Callithrix jacchus: one gene and its partners. The protein of the gene in region 7 interacts with the protein of the main gene of each other region in a pairwise test. Links are inferred from orthologs where the notes say so. Each region holds a gene or a part of one and is shown on either strand. Other genes may lie near its edges.

Region 1 (3,500 bases), on a different chromosome or scaffold from region 7:
CAAAACTCCAAATAAATATTGAATCTAAAAATTAATTAGTAATTTTAATTTTCATTTTTCTCTTCAAATTTCTTCTCTTCTCCTGAACTGTTGACTTTCAAAAATTCACAGAATGAGCATGTTTCTTACACAGTGGCTTGTCCTTCTTGGAGAAAAAGGTCTGACCTTCCAAACTTTCACAACACACCTGAAAAAGAAGCATTATTTAAGAGGATATTATTTAAAAGGATATTATGCATTATTTAAGAGGATATTAAGAGGATTGTATCAAGTATGCTGGAGAAGGAGAAAGTGATTTTTCCCCCAATGGATAATACGACAAAACACTTTAGTTGGTTATGTTAGACTCCCTAATATTTCACAATTACTAGGACAATTAGATATAATCTTTCAAAAGCAATGAAATATGGCTTTTTCCTAGAATGTATTCTACTTTATAGAAAGCACTGAGCATCACTTTTCTTTATCCAGAGGGAAGATTTATTCCTAACTAAAAATTTAATATAGAAAGAGGGCCCATTAAATATATTGTATCTCCCTGAATTCTAAACAATGTCTTAATTTTGCTTAGTGTTGTAGGGAACCAAAACATGACTCATTTGCTTTACCAAACCTTCCCAAGCCCAACATTAGCTTGCCCACAAATACACAGAATACCTGAGAACTTTTTTTTAAGGGGTGCCTTGTGTTCAAGCTGAGACCTCTTTTTAGTTAGTTTCTTACATAAAGACCCAGGTCAACATCTGGCTGCTGCAGGATTACACAGTCAGCTGACTATCTACATGTACAGCTTCCTGTTCTTCCTGCTGCCTTTGTTAATTAAAATTCTCATGAAGAGCTTTATTAAAGAAAAGGTAAATCTGCTAAAACTTTTGCTTTTTATAGACTTTATGAAGTCTAAGAGATGGATGAGGTAAACATGAGTTCAATGGTAATGTTTGGGGAAATCATTAGGCTTCAATTAATATTACTTTTGTTCCCTTTGTACAATGGGTATTGAAAACTATAGCTATGTTAAATCAAATTTTCAAAAATCAAACACCTGAACAGAGGCATGTTTAGTGGATATTTACTTCCTACATTTAAAAACTATATATTTTAATCTCTGAATCTATCCTAATCATTAAACATAAAACCAAAAATATTAAAATATCAAATGAATAGGCAAATACTTTGTTACATGTTTATTAGACTATAGTCTCAAAAAGAAAAGAATATCCAGAAGCTACTGCTGAGAAAAGAAATGAATCAACATATACTTTATTCCTAGTGTTAATTCAAAAATAGATTTTGATAATTGTTCCTTTGTATTTTAAGAAGTACCTAACATTTCCAAAAACTACTTTTTTTAAGTAAAGGAAACTTACTGTTTTAAGAAATAGATAGCTTCTTCTTATAGACAAAAATATATTAAAATTATATTTTCTCTAAGGACTAAGGATCTCACTGTTTGCCAAATAATTTAAAAAATGCCAAAAAATGTAATAAACAACTTTTAAAATTTACAAAAAAGTAAAAATATATATTTTTTAGGTTCAATGGACTAAAAGATATGAGAGCTGATATTTCCATTAAATACTAAAGCTAGAATTGGCCGTACTATTCCCCTTTAAGTAGGAAGTAAGACTTTACTTACTGAGCATACAAAGCAAGTGTCATGCCAGGTGTAGCCCAGAGCTTCCAGGAACATGTCACCAGCTTCTATGGGAAATTCACATCCATGGCATATAGTACCAAAGAGGGCATAATAATCTGTATTGAGGCAGGGCAGAGAGACATAATTTAAACACAATGAAGTTGTAGAATGATCGTTCCTAGAAGGCAGCAACAAAATCAGGATTAAATGAGATGCTAAAGATAAAGATATTAGGAATTTGAAAAATTTCAGGAGATGGCATAATGTTTGGCTTGAAAGATATGTTCAGCATGTTTCAGGATTCCCTTGGTAAATATTATTTATGCAACCTAACATTCTTGATTATAATTTTCCATGTAATACTTCTCGCTTCTCTCCAACTACTTAATTGCCTAAATAAGTATAAAGAAGAACTGTTCTGGCCAGGTGCAGTGACTCACGCCTGTAATCCCAGCACTTTGGGAGGCTGAGGCAGGTGGATCATGAGGTAAAGAGATCAAGAGCTTCCAGGCAAATATGGTGAAACCCTGTCTCTACTAAAAACACAAAAATTAACTGGGCATGGTGGCACATGCCTATAGTCTCAGCTACTGAGGAGACTGAGGCAGAAGAATTGCTTGAACCCAGCAGAGGGAGGCTGAAGCGAGCCAAGATTGCACCACTTCATTCCAGCCTGGGAGACGGGATGACACTCTGTCTCAGGAGGGGGAAAAAAAGAAGAACTGTTTTGTGACCAGTTATCAGTAGAAATAACTGTTCTAAAGAAATACAAAGGAATACTAATAACTAGCAACAGTAAGACTAATGGACAGGGACCAAGAACAAATGTCTGATATTGGCAAATTTCATAGTGTATCTGACTTGGGCAAGAAAGAAAAAGAAACGTTGCAGGAAACTTGTATGAATAAGTGCTATGACTGAATTTCTAGCTAGACTGTATCACAACAATATTAGCCACAATTTATTTTGTTGTATTTTCCTTTCAATTTTGTAACTTCATGTTGAAAACCCTTGCCCAGAAAAGACCATTTACTTGACATAGACTACAGTTACAAGAATACTAACAGGATTTCCTTCTGAAGAAAGCAGTTTTGAGAAGATGCTTTCTAGTTTTACCAAATTAGAATTTTCTTTCCTTTTTCTTTTTTTTTTCATTAGAGAGTCTCACTCTGTCACCCAGGCTGGAGTGCAGTGGTGTGATAATAATTCACTGCATCTTCCACCTCCTGGGCTCAAGCCATCCTCCTGTCACCATCTCCTGAGTAGCTGAGCCTACAGACACATATCACCATGCCCAGCTAATTAAAAAATTTTTTTCATGTAGAGACAGGGTATTGGTAGGCTGCCTGTGCTGGTTTTGAACTCACAGCCTCAAGGGATAATCCTGCCTTAGCCTCCTGAAGAGCTGGGATTAAAGGCTTTGAGTCACTGTATCTGGCCCTAATTTTCTTTCTTTTCTTTCTTTCTTTCTTTTTTTTTTTTTTTAGACAGAGTCTTGCTCTGTTGCCCAGACTGAAGAGTAGTAGTGCGATCTTGGCTTACAGCAACCTCCGCCTCCCGGGTTCAAGCGATTCTCCTGCCTCACCCTCACGAGTAGCTGAGACTACAGGAGAGGAGCCCATCACCATGCCTAGCTAATTATTTTTGTATTTTTAGTAGAGACAGGGTTTCACCGTGTTGGCCAGGCTGGTTGCCCTAATTTTCTTTTAAGCAGCTCCTCTCACTACTGTGTTGACTCATGGTTCACCCTTTGGCCTTTGACATTGTCAGTCCAACCTCAGCTGAAGAGGAAAGCAGGCTATAATTTGCAATGCAATTCACCTTTCTTAGCAACCGTCAATCTTTAGTATTCCTTCGCACCATT
Region 2 (3,018 bases), on a different chromosome or scaffold from region 7:
AAAAATGTACAAGCAATAATTCAGAAAGGAAAAAGATTTAGACATTATTACCATTCAGAAAATTGCTAAACGGTGAGGAAAAATGTAAAATTCATAAAACAATGCTTATTCAGGATCTTTTTTGTGAAAAATTCATACAAAAATCAACAGCAAATTTATACTCTTTGCTATAAAAACTCATTAGGTACATATGTGCATGAAGGCTTGGAGACAGAAAGGGTTCTGTTAGAAAATAATTAAAATTAAAGTACAAAGTTGTCGGGTAGTTGCCCAGTGGCGAATGTGTTGGCGATTTGAATTCTAGCCAATCTGGAGCTCGAAAATACATGAATTTCAATCAGGATCCCTTTCCATAAGCACCTTTAGAGCAAATTCACAAGTCATTCGTTTACAGGGACCTTCGCAATCTGCATTCATTTTATATATATATATATATATATATATATATATATATATATAAATGTGTGTGTATATATATATATATACTTTTTCTAGAAATGCATTATAAATATTTTATCAAGATTTCATAAGAATCAAGTTTCTTAGCTTGGAATACATTGGAATATATATTATACACATATATATTTATTTATACCTAAAATTTAAGCAATACTTCATGCTACTTGCTTTTAATAAAAAGCATTCCGATCGGAGCACTGCAAGTGTGCCTACCACATGCTTCACGACCAGATGGAGATGCTCAATCGCTATGTGATGTGTGACAAGAGAACACTTTGGATTCGTCTAAAATTTGTTGGACTTCAAAACCTCCAACGGGATTTGCCACTTTTTTGGAACTACCTCCATTTTCCTTAAACAGCAATAAAGCAAAATGGGGCCCGGCGGGCTACAGCCCCTGGCCCCGGAGATGATGGCCGGTGCCCGAGCTTGGGGCTCAGGCCAGGTCATGGGGCCAGCACTGCCAGCCTTAGCTGGCCACAGGAAACTGTCCCACCAATTCCTGCTGTTTATTTTTTCTTAAGGCATTGTTCCTCAGACTTCAGAAAACCCAGCCACAAAAATCCACCAGAGCAATAAAAAAAAGGCACAAACTCGCATCTTCCGATGGCTTTGAGAAACTCAAGCCAGCTTCCCCAGGCTCACACTCCTGATTCTGTCCGGTTTTGTCTTCTTTAAAGGTCACTCTGTCCCCCACCTGGGTGCAGACCCCCCCACTGCACACTGCTATGGTTCACAGCGGCAGGCCACAGCCGTAGAAAACGTTCTCTTTTAAAAAAAAAATAAGCTACAAGATGAGTCGAGTGGTTTACACAGAGACTGTGGAGTTGCGTGTGATAATCAAACTTTAAGCACCTGTTTTAGTCAAGTTTGTTTTGCATTATCAGATCTCTGATGCTCATTTTCTGTGCCTCGCGTCAACGGAATTCAGCGGCTCGGCCGCTCGTCGCCGCAGGCTTCTTTCTACCGCGGCGTCCCTCGCGGGACCCGCCAGAGTGTGCTTGGCTTGCGCGTGTCCGAGTGTCTGCGCGTCAGCCGCATCTGTCCCGTGCTCCCTGTGAGGCCGCCACGCCCAGGTGTGCATGTGCATCTCGAACCTGTGGGCCCAGGCGGCAGAAAGGCTTCCCATGGCTGTCACACGCCAGGTGTCCCTGGGTGCTCCGAGAGCCCCGTGGTGGGACGCAGGCGTGACACGGGAAAGTTTCTTGGCTGAGCTTCAGGACAGACAGACAGACAAGAGAACAGCAGCTTCGAGGGGCGCTACAGGGGCGGCTCCTCTTCCATGGGCTCCTCGTCTGGTCTGTGCATCCCGCAAGAGAAAGAGACAGGGGCGTGGGGCACATGCCCCGCAGCAGAGAGAGAACAGAACGTGGGTTAAAGGCCGCGCGCTGCCCCAGCTGCCAGCCTAGCCCAGGTGGCATCTGTTCAGGGCCTACTGCTCCTTATGTGTCTCTAAGGGGCTTTGGCACTGGATGGAGGGGGCCACCTGGCCTGTTTCTAGTCTGATGGGCATCCCTCTCCCAGGGCCTGCCCTGCCAGCTTGGTAGGGCATGTGCCATAAAGGTTCTGACCCTGCAGAGTATGTCACTGGGCACAGTGGGGCTGGGTGGGCCTGCAGGCGGGCGGCAGGGCAGGTAGGCGGTGGGGCAGGCGTGCGGCGGGGCAGGCGGGCGGTGGGGCAGGCGGGCAGCTGGGCAGGCGCTCACCTCTTTTCGGCGGGCTTCACGCCCACTGACAGTGAGGCCATGGCGGTGACCGTCTCGGCCTCGTCGTTCTCGCAGGTCTGAGCCTCGATCAGAGAGCGCCCCGCCGTGGAGGCTGCACGTTGTAGGCAGCGCCAGTACTTGCCTGGGGCAGGGAGAGGAAAGGTGTTCAGTGACTGCAACTCCGCAGGAGGCTCCGTGGCCTGGGACGTTCCTGCAGGACCCTGAGCCTCAAACGACATCGATCCCTTGTGATTTTTGAAGCAGCCCTCTTCGAAGAGGCACGAGGCAGGCAACTGCATAGCTGCAAACTCACAAAGACCAAGAATCTCTGGAAATATTTCCCCATCGTGAGTGGCTGGAGACCCTCCAGGAGCAAGCCGGCCTAGGACGGCAGACGGACGGTCTGGTGGGCCTGATTTTCCATGCTCACGGGCCCCTTTCTGCCCTGGGTGGCCAGGAGTGGGGGCTCCCAACCTGCTGGGCTGAGCCTTCCCATCTCATGGAGCAGGTGAGCTGGGGGATTGTTGCTGGGGCTGAGGGGTCTTCTGCCTGGGCCCTCACAGAGGCTGGGGGTGGAGGGGTACTGCACCAGGTACAAGGAGGGCTGGGCTGGCCCAGGGTCAGCTTCAGGGCTCTGAGGCCAGGACTCCCCCACACAGGGAAATGGGAGCCAAGCTCTGGACTGTACCTGCTTGTGTGGACAGTCTCAACCTTCTGGGTCATCTCAAAGGCAAACTGGGCTTGTGATGACAGGGTGTGGGAGGTGCCTCTGAGATAGGCTGCGTGCCATGCCCCTGCAGCCAGGACCCTCTGCTTGAGGGTCAGTGCCGGAACGCAGAGGGCCTACACCCTG
Region 3 (3,926 bases), on a different chromosome or scaffold from region 7:
ACTCGTCTCGAGCTCTTGACCTCAGGTGATCCACCTGCCTCGACCTCCCGAAGTGCTGGGATTACAGGCGTGAGCCGTTGTGCGTGGCCTCTCCCACCTTTCTTGATCTTCTTCTCCTGCATCTTCTCCGTGCACATCTTGTAGGCTTCCGACTGCTGGTATGCCCGCAGCTCCCTCATGTACTGCTGCTTCTCTCTCTCCGCCTCATCCAGGTACCGCTGGAGGGCAGCACCAGAAGACTTGACCCACCCAGAGGCAGGGGAAGCCTCCAACGTCAGGACCCAGTCTCCATCACTCAGCTTTCACTGCGCCCTCCCCCTCTCCTGAACCTTCGATAGCTCCCTATTCCCTTCAGACAGACAACCAACTCCTCAGCCTGTTGCTCAGGGACCTCCGAGCTCCCACATCACTTCCCATGCCCCTGACTGGTTCGGCCGTGACAAGCCCCTCCCAGATGCCAGTCATGGGCAGGCACCCACCTCCAGGATATGCGAATGCCTGGACTCCCTCCTACACCCGTTTCTCTTTTTGAAATCTCACAAGGGTGCATATTGGTGGTGGCTTTGATATATTTTCTTAACGTTTTTGCAATTTTTAAATTAACAGAATATGAAAATCAGGTTTCACAGAAACTCCAGGCCACACCCAACTTCTGAGACATATCCTTGTTGGTCCTCCAGTTTTCAATCTGTCTGGCCTCTTGCTAGCCCCGCCCCCAAAAGCTGGTTGCGGGCCGGGCTCGGTGGCTCACGCCTGTAATCCCAACACTCTGGGAGGCGGAGGCTGTTGGATCACTGGAGGTCAGAAGTTCGAGACCAGCTTGGCCAACATGGAGAAACGCTGTTTCTACTAAAAATACAAAAATCAGCCGGGCATGGTGGCAGGTGCCTGTAATCCCAGCTACTCCGGAGGCTGAGACAGGACAATTGCTTAAACCTGGGAGTCGGAGATTGCGGTGAACAAATATCTCACCACTGCACTCCAGCCTGGGCAGCAGAGCCAGACTCCATCTCAAAACAACCACAAAAAAAACCCACCAAAAAAACCTGGTCATGGGTGGACATTTCTCCGGCCGGAAAAAAAAACCCTGCACGTGGAATCCTTTGGGGGTCAGGGCTACTGGGGGGTGGTCAGTGGACCCATCGGCACTGTTCGGGGACCCGCCCCCCCACCTGCTTCTCTGTTGGCTGCAGCTTGCTCCACTCGGCGCCCAGCATCTTGGTGATCTCGGGAAAGGGCAGGTCCGGGTGGCGCGTGCGGATCTGCTCGCGCCGCTCGTTCAGGAAGCGCACGTAGCCGGTGACCGGTGCCTTGGGCCCATTCGGCAGAATCTTCTTCCGCTTCTTACCCTTGGGCCAGCCGCGTTTCTTCACCGGCTGCAGAACCGGGCTGCGTCGTTGGGAGGGCGGCCTGACGGCCTGGGGCGGGGCTCAGAGGGGCATGGGCGGGGCCTAGTGCATGGGCGGGGATAGGGGTGGGGCCTAGCTGGGAGGAAGAACCCGGAAGAGATGGAGGTAGGGCCGGGTTAGGAGTCAGGACACAGAGGATTAGAGGGGTCCCGAGCCAGGGGTGAGGGGATCTGAGGGGACTAGGGGCCGAGGTTTGAGCCCAGGGGTAGGTTGTGGGCGTGGCCTATTCTCGGTGGGAGTGGCTCCTTGATGGAAAGGGCCCACAGGACCATAGGAAAGGGTGCCGCCCCCAAGGAGTGGAAGTCAGCGGGGCCTTAGCGTGGGCAGAGCTGGCATTGGGCGGCGAGCGGAGCCTGGATTTAGAGTGGCAGAGGATCTGTCAGGGGCGTGGCAGCTCGCACGGGGCGGGGTCTCAGCTTCCGGAGGAAAATCTGGGCTGTGGGCGGAGCCACAAGCAATTCAAATCTAGCTTGGGGCGGGGCTTCAAGGCTGGGGCGGGAGCCCGGGGCCTCCCCAAGCTCAGCGCAGGGACTCTCACCTCCTCCTCGTGGGACCCCTTCTCGCCGGCGCGTGGACCCTCGCCGCGCTCTTGCTTGACAGCCACCACGAAGCCCCCATGCTGGCCCGGAGCCTTGCCGCCCGTCGGCCTGGAGCCAAGGATACCAGGGTCAGCCTCGTCCCTAGAACCTCCCCTCCCCGCAACGCCCACCCCAGGGCTTTTAGACCCCCGACGGCGGGGCTGCAGCGAGGGTGCGTGAGCCCGAGGAGGCGGGGTCTGATGGGGTCAGGATCCGAGGAAGGTGGGACAAGCGGGGCTCCTGGGAGGGACTGGAGGCCGAGGTGGGGGGTGCAGCACCGGGTGGAGGGAGAAGCCCCGTGACCCAGGTCGGGCAGTCAAGACCCAGGTCGGCGGGACTGAGGCGGGGGTTCTGGAGCTAGAGCTGCAGCCGGGAAGGTGGCGTGGGCGTGGGGAGAGGGTCGGCGGACTCACGCGGCGGCCGCGCCGGGCTGCTTGGGGCCGTGGGACATGGCCGCTCCGGGCCGGACCTGGAACACGGACGCGGCTGGAGGTGAAAGGCGCCCGGGTCGCCCGGTGGCGGACCACGAACTGGGGTACCCCGCGATGGAGCCCCGGGATGCCGGGCCCGAAGCGCTGGGGGGGCCGGATCCGGGGGCGGGGAAGTCCTCGAGGGCGGGCGCCCCAAGAATCCTTTGTTGGGCGATCGCCCCCCGGGAGGCCTAGGTCGCTTCCCCCCAGCCCGGGAAAGACCCCGGCCCGGCCCCGGGACCCCCGCACCCCCGCCCCCTCGCAGGGCCTGAAGTTCCGCGGCTGTTTTCACCTCCTAAGAAACTTTCCCGGACCTCCCGACTGCGCGACGCTCCAACCAACCGCCCGCAGCCCGTCCCCCGCCCCCGCCGGCCGCCCCGCCCCGCCCCTGGCATGCTAATGATGGCCTCGGCGAACGGTCCCATTGGGTGCGGTCTTCCCCTGGGGCGTGGCCATGCAGATACAGATCGGCGCGCTGGCTGGCGATTGGCTGGGGAGGCCGCTGAGCCGCGTGGGTGGTTGGTAGGGAAGGCGGCGGGCGGTGCGTCAAGTTCGGCTGCGCTCGGCCGCGCTCGGGACCAATCGGAAGCGTGTGGCCGACTTGCCGGGCGGAGCCACTTAAAGGGCCAGTAGGCTCGGCGCGGACTCCTCCGACTCTGAAGGCGAGACTCGCAGCCGCTGCCGGATGGGGCGACCGGCGGATCCGGGTCGGACCACGCCCCGGTTGCCATGGGGACGGACGGAGGCGGGTTGCTAGGCTTAAGGTCCCGCGGGGCAGCCCCCAGCCCTGGGGCCTGGTGGGTTGTGTTCTTAGCTTCCTGCAAAACCTAGTTGGGAAGTTTCCTATTGATTTACTCAGGTTAGAGCCCGCGACGTCCTGATCCCGGGACTTCTGGCCGCAGGGGCTGCTCGCTCTCTGGGACCCCGGCTTCCCCTCCCGTGCTACGGGAACATCGCAGGATGCTGCGAGGCCGAGAACGGGGGGTGGGGTCGGGAGCTGGGCTGGAAGTGTTTTGGGAAAGATGGTGAAGGGAGGTTGCAAGGGCCTCGTGAGGATGGGGGTGGGAGGCTCCCCGCTAGGGGATCGGAGACCTCCCAGCAGGAGCCTAGTCTTCTGGCCCTAGGTGAGGCTGCCTCTGCTCCTGAGGTCACTGGCTGCAGACCTCAGCCCCCTAGACCCTACACCACCTGCCCACGTCATGTCCCTGCCTTCCTCTTCCTCTTTTTTTTTTTTTTTTTTTGAGACGGAGTTTCGCTCTTGTCACCCAGGCTGGAGTGCAATGGCGCGATCTCGGCTCACCGCAACCTCCGCCTCCTGGGTTCAGGCAATTCTCCTGCCTCAGCCTCCCGAGTAGCTGGGATTACAGGCACGCACCACCATGCCCAGCTAATTTTTTGTATTTTTAGTAGAGACGGGGTTTCACCATGTTGACCGGGATGGTCTCGATCTCTTGACCTCGTGATCCACT
Region 4 (4,178 bases), on a different chromosome or scaffold from region 7:
AGAATGAGTGTGAAAGGCAAACAGTGTTAGGAAAATAGGCTTGACACCACGGCACCCCCCGGAAAGGGAGTCAGGACCCCTAGGGCTCCCTGGACCACATGGTGAGAACCACTTTTCCACCCAGCCATCCCTTCACGGGGTCCCTGGCTGTTCCACCCAGAGCTCCTGCTGTGCCTGTGCCAGGCTGCTGCCAAGCCCTGAAGATCTGGGTCCTGCTCTGCCAGGGCAGGGTCCTCCTCCTCACCCCTTGGGTCGCTGTGTCTCAGAGCCATCCTTTTCCTTTCTGCTGTGATTGCCTTCATCACTGCTGTGCCGTCTCTTCTTCCCCAGATGCTTCTGCATCTCCCGCAGAGGGTCCAGGCGGCTCTTTATTTTCTCATCTGGGGCTGGGCCAGGCGGGGGACCCCCTCGCTCTGGTGGGAGCTGGTACCAAGGGGGTTGAGTCTGGGCCTCGGCTGCACTCTGGCCCAGGTATGTCAGGATGCCCAGAGCTTTCTCTTGTCTCTCCTGAGGGGTCAGGAAATAAAAGAGATGGGATATAATCTTTCAGGGTGTCAGGTTTATCTCCCTGACACAGGTATCTAAGGCCTATGGTGAAGCAGCTGTGCCAGGTGCTGGGGAGGGAAGAGACCAGCAGAGGCCAAGCTCCTGCCCTGGGGTGACGATAGCAGGGACAGTCACAGAAAGCAGAGGAAGGAGGGGATGGGGTGGAGCTGCCTGAATGTTCAGAGGCAGGCATCTTTGCAGGGAGCAAGCAAAGCAAGAGGACCCGTGGGTGGGGTCAGCAAGTCCAGAGACAGCAGGTGAGGAACAGGAGCTTTTACACTCGATCTTAGCCAAAAGGCAAGAAGTGATTGATTCACTTTTTTTTTTTTTTTTTTCCTGAGATTGAGTCTCACTCTTGCCACCCAGGCTAGAGTGCTGTGGCACGATCTCAGCTCACTGCAGCTTCCACCTCCTGGGTTCAAGCGATTCTCCTGCCTCAGCCTCTGGGACTAAAGGTGCATGCCACCATGCTCAGCTAACTTTTTTTGTATTTTTAGTAGAGATACCATGTTGACCAGGCTGGTCTTGAACTCCTGACCGCGGGTGATCTGCCCACCTCAGTTTCCCAAAATGCTGGGATTACAGGCATGAGCCACCACCAAGCTGATTTAGATTTTTAAAAGCTCATCAGGTTTGAGACCCCTCCAGTTTGGAGACCTGAGCAGTTCACCTAGCAGCTGGGGATCTCGAGCATCTACCTCCAAGCCCTGAGGGCACCCAAATGGCAACAGCCACCACTTCTGAGTGTGCTTTGGTATGGTTCTAAATTCTGAGTGTTCACTCTTGTTTAGCCTTAGTCACAACCAATGGCTAAAGTGTCCCTCCCCCCAGCTCCATTCATGTCTCTGATGAAGTAGATAAGGCCAGCTTACTTTCTCCTGTCGCTTTTCTTCCTCGTGCTCTTTATTGCCTCTGATCAGGCCTTTCCCCTCCTCCAGCAGCTCTCGAAACAGGTCCACAGGGCCAGAACTTGGGGCTCCCACCTCTGCTGCCTCAAGCTCAGGCAGTGAGTTCTGATGTCTGGCTTTCTTCCGTAGGAATTCTGTACGGGCCTGGGGAGAAAGTTACAGGCAAGACATTAAAAACCTAAAGGTAATTCAAGAACTTTTAAGTCTGGTGCGCACCACAGGAAACAGCAGTCCAGGGTGCTGGGTTTGTAAGAAAGGGGGCACCTGTCCTAGCAGGGGTGAGGGTAGGCAGATAAGGCAACACCTGGGTTTTGTAAACTGCCTTTCAAATAGTAAACCACACATCAAGGATGGCTGGGAGGAGGTCCCTGGCCTAAACCAAAGGGGTTCCTAACCTCAAGTGAGACAATTAAAACAGCTATAAAGGTAGAACAAACTGCATTAGGTCAGATGATCTGGATTCCAGGCATGGCTCCAAGTCATTACCCCAAGTCCATTGATGAAGCCCGGTCTCCCACCTTCAGGACAAAGCTCTCAGCAGCCTACTGAGATTCTAAAAACCCAGACTACCTCCCTCCCAGTGTGGAGGATCAGACTGGCTAAGGAACTGAAAGTTAGGTGTACACCAAACAGATTTAAGGAGCTATACATAAAGCCCATGTTTGTGTGTGTGTCTGGGGGTGGTGCAGGGAAAGGGCTCGCCCAAGGGGGTGGAGACTTCCCCTCCCTTGACGCCATCTCACTTCGTGCCACGGAGATGACAATGCCTCTTTAAGAAAGAACGGTGCTTAAGGGGGATTCTGGAAGTCAGGCGTTCTGCATGCAGTTAGCATACAGTAACTGCTCAATAAATAGACTGTGCAAGCCAACTAGAAAGTGATCCGAATTTCCTCAAACTGTCCAAGGAATCCTGAATTCGGTAAACATTTATGCTTCTCTTTTGTGCTAGACACTGCTCTAGCCATGTGAAATACATCAGTGGGGGGAAACAAGACGAGGGGGCGATCAAGGGAGATTTCATGCAAGTGGGCACAACGTTTGCCGAGCAACGTTTCGGAAAAGAGGTCCGCGCCGGGTCACGAATTACATACGGGGCACACGGCGCCTGCGCAACGCGTCCACTTCCGGCCCCCTACCATGGCGCCTGCGCGCTGGGCCCCGGAGTTCCGCCCGGCCGGTTCCCAGGCTTACCTCCTGCTGAGCCAGCAGCACCCTCCGCTCACGCTCCTTCTCTTCCTCCCGGGCCTGGGCCTCGTCACGCCGCACGCGGGCAACATTGTCCTTGTTCCGGACGTGCCAGCTCTTCTTGGGCAAGATATTCATGGCGTCGTAGCAGTCCACGGACTGGCACGCCCGCCTCTCTGCACTTCCGATTGGCGAGAGAATGCCCCTTCCCTCTTGTCCCTACTTCGACCACAGATTGGTTCTTAACTCATTGGTACGGCCCCCTGGCCTGTAACGACAGGTGATTGGCTAAGACGCCCTTTATCTCAGCGAATGCCAGGCTTTTGGCGCGTGGTATCCCCTAGCAACCGCTTTTCACATATCCGAGCCAATCGCAAGTTGGCCCTCCCCTAATGCCAGATTCGGCCGCCGATTGGCCAACACAACCATCAAGTCTCCTTGCGGAAGAGCACTTCGAACGGCCACACATTCCCATGCATTTGATTGGCTCCCGCCCTGATGTAGCCCTGCCCCCACCTTCAGGACGCAGATTTCAAAGCGCGCTCAGTCACCTCGGCTGTGTTTATTCATAGAAGAAAGATCACCCGAGAGTCTGGGACGTGGCGGCGAGGGTCTCTGGAAACCTCCAGATCCTAGAGCTGGAAGAGCGTGGGGTCTTCTCTAGTTCTCCTAGTTTTACAGATGTGACCTAGGCTTACAATTGGCCTGGAGTCTGAAGGTGGGACATGGGCTGCAGGGGTCAAAAAGCCGGGTGGGTGGAGCTCAGCGCCACAGCGCGCCGTGCGAGGAAGACTTTGTTCTGCGCCTCCTGAGGCAAAGAGAGGTGGAGGTCAGACAGCCCTCTCCCCCAATGCCTTTCAATGTCCCCCACGGGGTCCCTCTCAGGGACCCGCCTGGCTCACCGTCTCTCTCTGACGTTTGAGCTGAGAGATGAGACGACCGTAGGAGTTAGCCAGAGCCACAGTGTACGCCATCAGGATGCTGGAGGAGACACGAACAGAAGCCACTCCTGACACGCTCCTCCATTCTATACAAACCCCTGGCTCCTTCAAAGCCAGGATGTCATCTACAAGGACTTCAGTCTCCCAGCCCAGGAGTCCTAAGTCCCACCCTCCTCCTCCTCCTCCTTTGGACCCTAGGCCTCCTCCCACCCCGAGCCTCTCCTCTCTCCGACGCAGGTGGTGGCCCCCAGATCACGTGCATTCAAACCCAGACCCAGAAGTCTGGGCAAACTCACCTGGAAATCAGCAGAAGGGGTACAGCAAAAGCCTGAGTCCCCAGGAAGAAGAGGAAGTTCTGGGCGGTCTCAGGGAGGCTGGAAATAGACTCAGGGATCTGGGCCCAGATGGACGACTGCCCCCGGAATGGACCACATAGCTTAGAAGGTGGGATCCTGAAGTCAAGATAGGCTGGGCTCACGTAGAGCCAGGAGTCTGAACGCTGAACGCAGGGAGAGGGAGGGAAAGAGGCAGGAGCCTCTCGCACTTACAGGAAGATGCTGTAAAGCAGAGGAACGCTGGAGATGGCCAGACCCAGGAG
Region 5 (4,086 bases), on a different chromosome or scaffold from region 7:
CAGGGAGGCTGCCCAGAAGAGACCACACCCTTGCTGTTGGACTGAGAAGAGCTGGCTGAGACCTCTCTACCACTGTCCTGCAAGGGCTGGTATGTTACGGCCCAACAGCCTTCTATTACTGACCGTGGTCTAGGGTGACCTCAGACTGTCGCATTGGATTTTTCTCTCTCTCCCAAAGGGAGCCTTTGGCAGTTATCTCCAAGCATGGCTTTGGCACGTATTCCTTGAACAACTTCAGGCTAGCCAGAGTGTGAGGCCAAATCTTTTCCTATCTAGATCACGTGCTAGCTGCCAGGCTCTGCCGCCTTCCCACAGACATGCTGGTCTCTCGCCTGCCAGCTCTGGCCCTGCGATTGCAGCAGATTTACAAGAGGCAGGGTCTCCGTCTCCCCACTCCCACGTGCCACTCTGAGTTCCTTCGGAATCTGCCCTCACAGGACTCCTCCATGACCAGTGTCACAAGGCTTTGTCCTCTTGAAAATATCGTCTTCCCAAAAAAAGCCTTTATTAAGCACTTATCTGCACGTGGTGTTGTGCTGAGTTCTGTTTCTTGTGAGTCACACTGTCACAGGCTCTGCCCTCTGGGAAAAAGTCCGGAATCTTTGGCAGAGACTATAAAATCCAGTTTGGTTAAGTACTGGGGTGTTGGAAGAGAATAAATGGTTTAAAAATTCCCCCAAGGCCACTGGATGGTGACTCTTCCACTCGTATTCATCTCCCATTCCTCACTTTCTAGCTTCCTCTTCCCTCCTTTAGATCCCCAAATACCTCCTTTTTCTCCATCTAAATTTTAGATGGACTTATTTCCCACCTTTTAAATCCAGGGAACTCTTTAGCTCATTGTAACACTTGATTTTAAGCAAAGAAGAGCATTAAACGTTAAGGTTTTTGAGGGTTTAAGAGCCCATCCGTAAAGATATTTCTACTTTGGATTACAAAGGCATGTTTTAGAAATTCTAGAATCATATAGCCTTACATTAAAGAAGCTAGACACACTAGGGGAAGTCCTAACCAAGCAAATGTCAACATAACAGCCCCAGGAAAGGACAGAGGCAGATATCACCTTTGACTTTAAAAGGAAATGTAGCAATTCCCCTCCAAAATGCAAGGGGCCAAAAAGATCACAATTTCAAAATAATGTTCTATCTTCCTGACCCTGAGGCTCTCCCTTATCAGCACTGAGCTGTCCATCTTCCTGACATCTAGTGCGCTGGCCCAGTTTCTGAAGCCAATTTTAGAACACATTTATTTTAATAATCAAGGAGTCAGGACTCTTACACAGTTTCAAGTGTTTCATCAGTCACTCAGCTCTTCTCTCCATGTCACTCAGAAGAGGGGTCTTATGGTCACTGTGGCCATTTGACCAGCAAGAAGGTGGCTTACTGTCACCCTGACTCTGCATAGGGTTCAACCACAGGCTCAAGGAAAGACCAGCTGTGAGCCTAGAGTTGTCTTCAGTGATCCCAGTGCCTTTATAAAGGCCCCCTCTGCTCCCTGACACACCAAGTTGCCCTTGTTATGTCTTCCCTCCCGCCATCTCCTGCACACTGACATATTCCTGTCATCTCAGGTTTCTACCTTTTCTGAATGAAAGGTGAGCACAAATGGTCAGACAAGAATATTTGCACTTCGCCTATTACATAGACTTATGGAGGGGGAGGATTGAGCATTTCCCTGAGCCCCCGGTTAAGTCACTCTGCATTTTTACAAAGACCTTCCGAAGACAATACCAACAGAATGAATAAGGAGCAGTTCTTCTATTAGATACCCCAGACAAGTAAAGAAGATACCGCTCCAGGGGCCCTGTTCCAAACAAACAAGTTTTGTCAATTACAAAGGGCTGGCTGATAACCCTGCCTCAATTTCTTCAAAAGGGCTCAATGCTATCTGCCAGAGCCACTCCACTCCACCCCATCTCAATTCAGTCCTAATCTTAACTTTCACCTGCAATTTAAAATGAAACAGCTTTTTCATTCTCCATGAATTTCCATCCTTCCCTGCCCTCTAATGCCTTGAGGCTTAGCCAAAGTGGCGTTTTGCAGCCTATCGGCACCCAAGAGGTAGAAGAGACCTCAGGATGTGTAAAGTGCTTTGGGATCCATCCCACAGACTAGGACCCAGAGATGCCTCCTGCCTCCCTCTGCCCACAGGTGCCGCTGCTCTGGCTAGGGGTCGAGGATGGATCCAACATGCATTTTCCTGGCAGGACCTGTCAGGCAGGGGCAAAGGGTAAGAATGTCACCATTCTCGCCCTCCCTAAAAAATTGAGTGAGGTGGGGATGGGGCCCCACTGAGAGAGGTGAAAGGGTTGAGAAGGGGCTGAGGGTCTTTGGCTCAGCAAGAGGCGAAACCGCCACAAGCCGGACGCCGGGCTAGAGCTATGCCTCGGGCGAGGTCCCCTCCTAGGTCCCTCCCTTCCCGGACCTGACCCTCTGGATCACCTTGATCTTCTCGCCCTCGATTTCCACTGTCTTCTCCCTGAAGTCCACGCCGATGGTGGCTTCAGTCTTGTCTGGGAAGGTACCCCCGCAGAAGCGGAAGGTCAGGCAGGTCTTGCCCACGTTGGAGTCCCCAATCACGATGATTTTGAAGATGCGAATCTGCACGTACTGGTCCAGCGACGAGTCGAGCTCCAGGGATGCCAGGCCGGCGGCTGAGGTGGGCTGCAGGCTCCCATGGCCCAGGATGGGCTGCGCCATCTCCCCCGGACCGGACCGGGGCCCCAAACCCCCTCGAGGGCTCCACACAAAGAGAACGTCCACGTTCGTGCGCTCGAGGCGAGCGAGCTCTGTGCGTGTGTGTGCGCGCGTGTGTGTCCGCCCGTGTGAGCGTGCGCCTGCACCGTGTGCGCGCGCGCGTGAAGGGGGTGCCTCTCACCCCGGCCCCCCTCCTCCTCTTCCAGCACACCCTTCTTGCAGCTCGGAGGCACCAACACAAAAGCTAGGGAGAGGAGGAAAGAGGGAGGAGAGTGGACGAGCTGCGAGCCTTCTGCCTGTGTGTACCCTCGGACCGGATGCTTTGGGCGAAGGACCCTACGGCGCTGCTCCAGCCGCCGCCGCGCGTCGGTCCACACTGTCCCCTGCTTGCACCCTAGGGATGGACCGGAGGGAAGAAGCCTCAGGAGGAAAGGGAGGGGGTGGGGACGGTGGCACACGCCACCCCGGGATAGACTTCTTTCTTCCTGCCCCCATTTATAAGTTTCGGGCTCCCTGCCCCCACTGGCTCAGAGCGCATGGGGTCAGCGGGCAGGGAGCGCAGTTGGGAAGGACAAAGAGCTGCACCCTAAGGCATCACTGGATCACTTCGACCTTGCTGGAGCAACGCGAGGGCGGGGTGGGGGCGGGGGCACCTCTTTCACCTCGGGAGCAGCGGACAGCTGAGTGGAGCCTTCCCAGTCCCCGTTACCCCGTCCCCTCTACCCCCACCCCTACCCCACCCGCGCCTAGGGATAAAGGGATGCTCTGTCTTATTGAGTGAGCAGGTGCACTCGCAGGCCCCAGGCAGCCTGGGAGGGTGCTGCCAAGACACGCAGCGGATTGTCGGGGGCCTGCACAGCTGAGAGGAGGGAGCCAGCGGGCGCGCGTGTGCGTGTGTAGGGGATGTTACTGTTTCTGCCACGGACTTGCCAGATGTAGGGGGGCGCGTACCAGGCGCCAACCTCCCCTTATCACACCACGAGCACCCATCCTCTGAATGTTCAGGAGAGCGGCTCCTATTGGCTGCCGCAGTCGGTTGTGTTTGGCTGGCCAATGGGGAAGGCCCTCGGCCGGAGAGGGCCACACAGAGGCTAAGAGAAGGGGGGAAGCTAGTGGTGGCAGTTCCAGCAAAAGGGGACTTTGTTTCTGGGGCTAACAGTTACTGGCTCAGGTGGAGGGTCTTTGGACATGGCATTAGCTCCACAGTGCTTTCCATTCCCAAGCCCTCCAGAAGGGTGGAGTTTCAGAGGGAGTTGGGAATCCGTAGGAGGGTTCACTCCCCTGCAGCTGAATGTAGAACAAAGTGGTTGGGTCTAATTTGCCAGAAGCCTAGATTATGCTTGGAAGATGATAAATGAACACAACTTCTTTGCAGTATTAGGGGGCTGCT
Region 6 (4,182 bases), on a different chromosome or scaffold from region 7:
CATTGAATATCTTCAATTAAAATCAATTATTCTCCCTACGTGATTATAAATCTGTATTTGGTGACCAAATAAATTGGATTTTCTTTTTAAACCACATAATTGGCAACAGAATCAACAAAAGCTAACTGCCAGATTAAAAAATGTAAGCTACCTAACTAGTCGTGTTGGTAAATACCCAAATTCAATATTGTAAATGTCTGGCATAATCTAGAACAAACACTCTCAATCATTCTAATATTAGAAACATTACAGATGCTGATGATTTATATATATTCTCTCATTTTAGAAAAACCATTAAAAGATGAGATGATCCACGAAATACCATTTAAGCAACGAGAATGAACTGGCTGAGAGCCAGGGTAAAGCCTCATCCTCTCTTACCTTATATGCTGGACTAGCCACAGACTCCCTCCCTTACCATCTCAGGTGAAACCACCCCTTAAAAATGAAACCATCCTAGAGTTAAATCTAAAGCAGAAAAAAATATTTAACTGAGAGGCTTGAATACAAAACACAGTACTTGATTTTTTATCTTTAAAACATACTTCAAATATTTTAGCATTTTTTAGAAGTTCTGAAGTAATCATTAGGCCATCTCCCTGGCAACTTCCATACTTACATAATAAAATTAGCCTTTAAAGGTTTCTGCCTAGCTTTTACTGAAATGATGTAGTCAAGTACTCCCGATTCCCTACATACACATACAAAGGCTGCCCTAAGTTTTCACCAGGGAACGGTAACTGGTACATATTGATTCTAAATCCTGTTCTGTAGAATCTCTTCTTTTGGCATCCAGTTCCCTGTCTCAAGAATACGTATACCTCAGATCCCCTTAAAAGCATCTTTAGCTATGTCTTGAGAATTAACAAAATCAGTAAAGATACTAATTTCTTTTTGTGGAGGGCAGAAAGTCCAGAGGAACATAGGAAAACAAAAATATTCATTTCTGCTATTTTAAGTACTTCCCTGTAACAAAAATTCCCTAAACAATCTGGGATATTAAAATAGATTAACACATCACTTTATACTTTTGCTACTGGATGTTAGAAAAGTCATTCATTTGGCTAATTTTGGAGTTAAACTTTGTATAATTTCCACGCTTATATTCCCTCTTTAGGAATTACACTAATGTCCTAAGCTTACCTTCAGTGCATTTTCAGAAGCAGCAACAAAATATGGCAGCAGAAATGTGATCACATGAATTAGATGCTTAAACTTCAACCTAGCAAACTCTATGTAAGGGTTTTGAAATGAGAAATCTTTTCTTATAGAATGCTAAAATTAAGAGCCAGATATGTAAACACACCAAAAGGTTCCTTTGTTTTTAAATCCGTGAGAGTCAGACGATCAATAAGATATTGTGTAAACTTTTTAAAGTTCTTCTAGAAAATCTGAGGTGTAACTTACAAGTTTCAAAGCCCAGCCACTTTGTGACACACAAAAACACAAAAAGCCAAAAGAGTTAATTACACTTAAATGCTTCAGGGTAATAAGGTTGCCTTTATACCATTCACACTCTTAAGGCACACAGGTTCGCTTTTTAGCAGGAAATAAAATCAATTTTCTGACACTCATAAATCTCAAGCCATTAATTTACCTTCCTCTACCAAATCATTGTCAACTCCCTAACTCAAAAGATTTTTCTGATGCAGGTAGAAGAAAGGTGATAGGAAAAAGTAAGGGGGGGAAACAGTAAATTATGGTTTAATTAAAAGGGAGAGTCATTCAGAATTAACAAGCAATTAACAAAGAATTGAGGAATTCCTATGAGAGTAAGGAAGGGGGGTAGCTATAAAAAGGTCTCAAAGTCTCAGAGCAAAGTAAATGGCACAGTGTACCAAAAGACAACGCAAAACACCGAAACACTGCACAGAGAGAAAGTGGGAAAATACGTTCCTGGGGCAGATTAGTTATAAAATGTTAAAGATCAGGCACGAGTAATGTTTTTGCTTTTCCTGGGAAACTGAGGGAGGGGTTGGGTTAGGAAAGGTTGCATTCCCAGGCAACCACCCTGAAAATAAAGCACTGCCTAATGAGGTAGGGGCCAGGAATAAACAATGGGGGAGGGGAAGGCTGGCTCATTACCTATATAGACGATGCTGATCAGAGGCAATGTCCCTTCTGCTTCCCTGGTAAGTGGGTAGACCCCTTCCTGCTTTCGCGTCTTCTTCAGCCAGCTCAAACCTAGAAAAACAGAAACCAGTAAGTGGTGCAGTGTCTCAGGGGTGAGGAGGGGGCTCTGAAGAAGGGGGAGCTCAGGAAAGCGACTGGAGAGTGGCAAGGGCAGGCAAGAAAAAGCAGATATTTTCTTCCCTCCCAGCCAGCTCTCTTCCCCTTGGGGGAGGTATCTGACTTTACCTGTCTCCTCAGCTGCTGCTTCTCTTCCTCCTTTTAGCCTCCTCCACACTCACCAACTTCTCCATTGAAGAAATACCCAAGGCAGGGCCGGACCCTGGTGTTCCAGATCCTCCTCGGTGCTTCACGGCCCCAGCCCGGCGAGCATCCAAACAGCCGAGCAGGCAGGAGGTGGCGGTCCCGGCCTCCGGGCAGCCTCGGGGCAGGGGTGTAGGGAGGCAGGGAGGAAGTCCCGGCTCCGGTGGGGGGGGCAGTCCCGGTCCAGGGCTCGGAACTAAGGGCTGCCGCGCTCCGGGCCGGAGGCTTCCAGCTACGGAAGGACCCAGGAGGTCTCGGGACAGCAAGGTCCTAGGTCATACGAGGTCCGAAGTGCCAGCCGTGGGGTCTCCGGACAGGGGGCTTTCGGGATGCACTTTGCACTGGGCCACCCCCGCCCCCTCCCTCCAGCACTTTGGGGTCACTGGGATGGGACCAAGCCTTCAGCAACCAATCAGCGGCCGCAGTGGATCCTGAGCCTGGAGCCGTAAACCAGGTCCGGGGTGGGTGGGGGTGGGGGGAGTGGGGGCGACTTAGTTGGTTGGTTGCTTCCCTCTCTCCTCCTTACCCCCAGCAGCCCCCACCTTCTGCCTGCCGTAAAGCTGCCCCTGCATTCGCGACAGTTAAGGGAGACGTGCCGACCGGGACTGAGGCTCGTCTCCGATTGGTCCATTCACTTACCCCCACGGCCTCCCTGTGGTGGCTTCCGAGGCTCCGCCCCTGACGAGGGACTCAAAACGGTTGCTAAGAGACACTGTACGCCGAACGCGGTCTCTGCGCATGCGGGAGGAGGGATCAGCGTGTACTTTCTGTGAACTACGGTGGCCCAGAGAGGGCTGGTGTGTTCTCTCGAATGGCGGTGTGAAGAGAGTTTGTCTGAGCCAGATCCCAGGCAGGTAACCCGGAGCAGCCGCTGAGCTCGGCGGCCGGGGAGGCGTGAGTGCAGCCAAATGAGGGCCTGGTCCAGGGCTTAAGGTTGGGAGGGCGGCAGGCTCAAAGAAGCGAAGAGAGGGGTGCCTCTTTCTCTGCTCCCGCTCAGCGCTTGTCAGACGCAAGTGCCCGGTCCTTGGCGCGTCTGTCTGTCCCTGAGACCCCGTTAGCTTCCAGGCTGGGAATCCCTCGCCTAGAGTGGGAGAAGGGACTCTCTTTGGGATGGCGACGCCGGTCCAAGGGCTTCCCTGAAGGGATAGCAACGTTGGCGGGTTCCTGAAAATGAATGGAGAGGGGGCGTGGGGAAAATGCGAGATAGACTGATCATGACACGTTTATTAAGCGCATTTATTCATCTCGCAAGTGTTTTCCTGGCCCGTGTTCTACTCCTTGAGGAGACAACAATGAACAAGATCGTGATTTCCGGGGAGACAAACACAAAATTATGAGATAGGGATGGGTTATATGAGGAAAATCAAGCAGAATGGTGGGATCGATTTTGACCAGGACGTGATGGGCTATAGCATATTAGATAGGTAGTGCTATGGTGTGAATATCTGTTCCCTCCGAACTCACGTGTAATCCCCAGTGTGGCAGTACTGAGGGGTAGAGTCTTTAAGAGGTGGTTGGATCATGAGGGTTCTGTCTTCATGAGGGGATTCATCTATTAATGGATTATCATGGAGGTAGAACTGGTGGCTTTATGAGGAGAGACCTGATAATGAGCCTGCTCAGCCTCTGATCACACGATACTTTGCAGTGCTGCCTCCTGACACCAGGTGTGGTCTGTCAGTCTTGAGAGTTCCCAGCCTCCAATACTGTAGACGATAAATTATTTTTCTTTATAAATTACCAAGTTTT
Region 7 (3,500 bases):
ACACTTCAGAGATCCCAGAAGCTTCTCTACAAATCCCTTGCCTGGTTGAAAGGGCAGAGGAGATGATGCTTCTTCCCAGGATCTCCTCCTCCTTTCTGCTTATCTAGCTACTAAGGCTACTACTCACCTTTCTGGTCTCAAAGTCACTCTTGGAAGTATCTGAGCACAGCTTGGTCACCTTTTTAGTTTTAACCCCATTGGCATTCTTGTTCATGTTCTTATTAGCATTCTTCCCCTGGGCTTTGAAAGTGGAGGGTCTCTTCTCCCTGAGCTGGCGGAGCTCCTCCTGGCAGCACTGCAGCTGCCCCTCCAGCTGCTCCTGCACTGCCAGAAGCCGCCCCTGCTCATCCATGCTAGCCTGGTATTGCAGCTGCAGCTCCCGCAGCTTGGTCTGCAGGTCTTTGATCTGTTGGTAGTGGAGGGCCAGTTATCCAGAGCTGGGGGGTTATATAACCAGTTAGCTGCCCACGCAACCAACCTCGGTCCTGCTTAGGGGGTCACTGCCTCAGAAATCTCCCTGCTAAAGTCATAGGGAGTAGACAACGAAGAAAATATCCCACTGTGGAAAATAAGCCTCTCAAATAGTTTTACAGATAGCTTCTCTCTAACTTGAGGCACCTGACGATTTATATCTAATAAGATCAAAAAAACAGCCGGGCGTGGTGGCTCACTTGCCACCCAGTGTAATCCCAGGACTTTTGGAGGCTGAGGTGGGCAAATCGTTTGTGGTCAGGAATTTGAGAGAGCCTGGCCAACATAGTGAAACCCTGTTTCTACTAAAAATACAAAAAAAATTAGCTGGGTGTGGTGGCAGGCTCCTATAATCCCAGCTACTCGGAAGGCTGAGACAGGAGAATCGCTTGAGTCTGGGAGATGGAGGTTGCAGTGAGCTGAGATTGTGCCATTGCACTCCAGCTTGGGCCACAAGAGTGAAACTCCATCTCAAAAAAAAAAAAAAGGTCAAAAAAACTATTTAAATTGTGTTTTTTTTACTGTGACTGGGGAATAACGATAGGGCTGCTATCAATTCTGAACCTCAGGGATTTCTTATAGAATTCTTTTTACAAGAACTCCTACTTCATCCAACCCATCTCGCTAACAGGAACAACGTAAAGAACTGTGTTGTACACTCCTGAAGTGGGTACTGGGCTCCTGCACCTCACCCTGGAAACAGAGGCAAGTCACACCCTGCTCCCTCATCTCGGGTTTTGTCTTCCCTGGCTGATGGCAACACGTCACCATTCTCTCCATAGGTACCAATACTAGCCAGTCTGGACCCATGTGTTCGCTGCTCTCCGAATCTCTCCCATGTGTATACAAAGAGACTCCCACTGGACTGTGAGCCCCTGGCCAGAGACAAGGCTTCTGTCCCGTTTCTAGGAATGGGACATCTTGGCACTGTGAGAGATCCAAAAGGAGACATGTCCCTGTCCTTGAGCTGCTTACAGTCTAGTTGGTGCTCCTAGTTGGTACACCGGGAGACATGGCAAATGCACACACAGTGATGAAAGATTGGCAAGTTCAAAAATATACTTCTACAGAAGTGGTCTAGAACACAAAGCAAAAGAGAGAGCAGGAGTGGCAAAGGGAGAAAGAGAGAAATCATTGATGAGAGGATCCTGATGACTAAACTAGTAAACCCCAGCTCCATGAGCACTAGGAAATGTCAGCAGGGATGCAGAAGACTGCCCAGCCTCTGAGCCGCATGCTCTCCCTGCTTTGTCCCTCTCTCTGTAGCCTCTCTGAAGTGGCCATGACTCCTCTGGCTCCAGGGGCTCCCAGAGGAAACCCTGCCTCCCTGACAGCAGTTACCTCATTCTGGTCGTTCTGGGGGGCCACAGGCTTTTCAAGGCCTTCCATGCACTCCTTAAACTCCTTTTCACAGGCATCCATCTCTTCCTTCAGGTCTTTCTGCTTGGCCAGTAACTTTTCCATCTGCTCTTGCAGCTGGCTGTGCTCCTCCTGGCTTATCTGGTACATGGCCTGCACTGCCTGCAGCTTGATCAGCACCTTCGCAACCATTTCCTCAAAGTGCTGTGGGGGGGCGGGGGGGTGAGCAACAATAGCACCCCAGGAGCACCTAAGCTCCACCCAACTCTGCTGGACCCTTCTCTGGATAACAAACAATGGCCATCAGGATCTGGAGCTGCCCGGGAGGAATACTGTATTTATCCCCATAAAGAGCACCGTGACTGTGGTGGTGCTCTTTATGGGGATAAATGGGCCTCTGTTCAGATGGGGGCATCTCTCTATGAGAGGGCTGAGGGGGAGGCCAGGCTGCCATGGGTAGAGGGCTTTGCTTACTTCCGGTAGTTCCCCACATCAGCTCTGACCCCATTCCCACACTTCTTGTCTCTTCCCCCGGCAATGTATCTCTTAAAAAGACAAGAGTCCATCGTCCTCTGCCTGACCTGTCACCTGGCGACTGTTACCTCTGTGTCTTCAGGCTCAGCAGGTTCATCGTCAGTGCAGCTGCTGACAGAACTCTTGTGAAAGGTGTCAAAGCTACTGGTGCTGCCGTAACTCTTCTCATAGGTAATGCTGCTGTTGCTGGTGGTGCAATAACTCTTTTCATAGGTCTCACTGGCACTGGTGCTGCTGTCATAGCTCTTGAGGAGGCTCTCGTCTCTGGTCTGGGTGCTGGTATAACTCTTGCAATAGCTCTCATTGTCATCAATTGTGCTATGGCTATCGTGACAGTTCTCATTGCTGGGGGGCATGCTGCTACCATAGCTCTTTCTGTAGGACTCAAGGCTCATTTTTATAGAAGGGGACTGGACTTGAAGCAGTTGCATTTCTTCGAGGCAGAGCTGCAAGTCCGTCTGCAGCCTCTTCCGCTCCTCTAGGAGCCTCCGTTGCTCTTGCTGCAAGAGCTCCTGCTCCGCCTGACTGGCTTCATACAGCACCTGCAGGGTCTGCATCTGCTCCATAAGCAATTTGGATTGCTGGGGGCAGGGGTGGGGAGACATTATCATTACTCTGACATTTCAGTCCTTTCAGCTGCACCTTTCCTGGTGCAGGTGTCTGAGAGCACATCTTAGTGAATGGCACACCTACATTTCAGCCTCACACCAGCCTATGTCTTTCACTTAGCCTACAGGTAACTGGCATGTGTCAGTTTCTTACTCATTTGGGAAAATCTCCCCAAGGCAGATACTCCATGATTTCTGGGCTCCCATTTTGGCTGGTTTCTGCACTCTGTTATATCCCTGTCTCCTTGGAGCAGTGGGTTTCCAGAACACCCTGGCTCCCTACCACATCCTCTTCTCAGTCAGGTATACCCGTTGTCCTGGCCTTCAGGCTCAGTCCCCTCCCCCACCCCTAGTTCTAAAATCAGCCCCAGCCTTGAATGCAGCAATATGAAGAACTGTAAGCAAGATCTTACTATTAGTTCCTGTATCTCCTGCCCCAATTCTGAATCTGGCCTCTGGGCATGTTTCCCAGGCCCTCTAGGCCTGGCTTCTTGGCTGCTGATGTCCAGGATGAGATCTGATCAGCTA

What was found.
Region 1: the proteins of CCDC136 (region 7) and PDLIM5 interact in binary tests that used the Homo sapiens proteins (3 or more experiments, as listed by UniProt). The two-hybrid records come from large-scale screens. The link is inferred for Callithrix jacchus from reciprocal best matches to the Homo sapiens genes CCDC136 and PDLIM5.
Region 2: the proteins of CCDC136 (region 7) and HDAC4 interact in binary tests that used the Homo sapiens proteins (3 or more experiments, as listed by UniProt). The two-hybrid records come from large-scale screens. The link is inferred for Callithrix jacchus from reciprocal best matches to the Homo sapiens genes CCDC136 and HDAC4.
Region 3: the proteins of CCDC136 (region 7) and HMG20B interact in binary tests that used the Homo sapiens proteins (3 or more experiments, as listed by UniProt). The two-hybrid records come from large-scale screens. The link is inferred for Callithrix jacchus from reciprocal best matches to the Homo sapiens genes CCDC136 and HMG20B.
Region 4: the proteins of CCDC136 (region 7) and LENG1 interact in binary tests that used the Homo sapiens proteins (3 or more experiments, as listed by UniProt). The two-hybrid records come from large-scale screens. The link is inferred for Callithrix jacchus from reciprocal best matches to the Homo sapiens genes CCDC136 and LENG1.
Region 5: the proteins of CCDC136 (region 7) and RAB33A interact in binary tests that used the Homo sapiens proteins (3 or more experiments, as listed by UniProt). The two-hybrid records come from large-scale screens. The link is inferred for Callithrix jacchus from reciprocal best matches to the Homo sapiens genes CCDC136 and RAB33A.
Region 6: the proteins of CCDC136 (region 7) and ASB7 interact in binary tests that used the Homo sapiens proteins (3 or more experiments, as listed by UniProt). The two-hybrid records come from large-scale screens. The link is inferred for Callithrix jacchus from reciprocal best matches to the Homo sapiens genes CCDC136 and ASB7.

Annotation. Positions count from the first base shown.
Region 1 is NC_133504.1:102,891,378-102,894,877, forward strand, and holds the end of PDLIM5 (PDZ and LIM domain protein 5), read right to left. Parts: intron 1,753-3,500; coding exon 1,637-1,752; intron 188-1,636; coding exon 98-187; 3' UTR 55-97; downstream 1-54. UniProt on the Homo sapiens protein: May play an important role in the heart development by scaffolding PKC to the Z-disk region. May play a role in the regulation of cardiomyocyte expansion. Isoforms lacking the LIM domains may negatively modulate the scaffolding activity of isoform 1.
Region 2 is NC_133507.1:160,370,064-160,373,081, forward strand, and holds the end of HDAC4 (histone deacetylase 4), read right to left. Parts: intron 2,308-3,018; coding exon 2,166-2,307; intron 1,760-2,165; coding exon 1,720-1,759; 3' UTR 501-1,719; downstream 1-500. UniProt on the Homo sapiens protein: Responsible for the deacetylation of lysine residues on the N-terminal part of the core histones (H2A, H2B, H3 and H4).
Region 3 is NC_133523.1:3,337,029-3,340,954, reverse strand, and holds the start of HMG20B (SWI/SNF-related matrix-associated actin-dependent regulator of chromatin subfamily E member 1-related), read right to left. Parts: upstream 2,801-3,926; 5' UTR 2,750-2,800; intron 2,474-2,749; exon of another isoform or gene 2,457-2,473; 5' UTR 2,439-2,456; coding exon 2,401-2,438; intron 2,057-2,400; coding exon 1,948-2,056; intron 1,377-1,947; coding exon 1,173-1,376; intron 219-1,172; coding exon 98-218; intron 1-97. UniProt on the Homo sapiens protein: Required for correct progression through G2 phase of the cell cycle and entry into mitosis. Required for RCOR1/CoREST mediated repression of neuronal specific gene promoters.
Region 4 is NC_133523.1:47,340,471-47,344,648, forward strand, and holds the start of LENG1 (leukocyte receptor cluster member 1), read right to left. Parts: upstream 2,801-4,178; 5' UTR 2,778-2,800; coding exon 2,646-2,777; intron 1,599-2,645; coding exon 1,419-1,598; intron 508-1,418; coding exon 245-507; intron 1-244. Other genes in the region: voltage-gated chloride channel TMC4, read right to left, coding at 3,379-3,447, 3,542-3,620, 3,877-4,032, 4,129-4,178.
Region 5 is NC_133524.1:125,837,775-125,841,860, reverse strand, and holds the start of RAB33A (ras-related protein Rab-33A), read right to left. Parts: upstream 2,801-4,086; 5' UTR 2,700-2,800; coding exon 2,442-2,699; intron 1-2,441.
Region 6 is NC_133507.1:9,369,518-9,373,699, forward strand, and holds the start of ASB7 (ankyrin repeat and SOCS box protein 7), read right to left. Parts: upstream 2,801-4,182; 5' UTR 2,359-2,800; intron 2,185-2,358; 5' UTR 2,086-2,184; intron 1-2,085. UniProt on the Homo sapiens protein: Probable substrate-recognition component of a SCF-like ECS (Elongin-Cullin-SOCS-box protein) E3 ubiquitin-protein ligase complex which mediates the ubiquitination and subsequent proteasomal degradation of target proteins.
Region 7 is NC_133512.1:118,369,040-118,372,539, forward strand, and holds part of CCDC136 (coiled-coil domain-containing protein 136), read right to left. Parts: intron 2,946-3,500; coding exon 2,433-2,945; intron 2,035-2,432; coding exon 1,813-2,034; intron 407-1,812; coding exon 128-406; intron 1-127. UniProt on the Homo sapiens protein: May play a role in acrosome formation in spermatogenesis and in fertilization.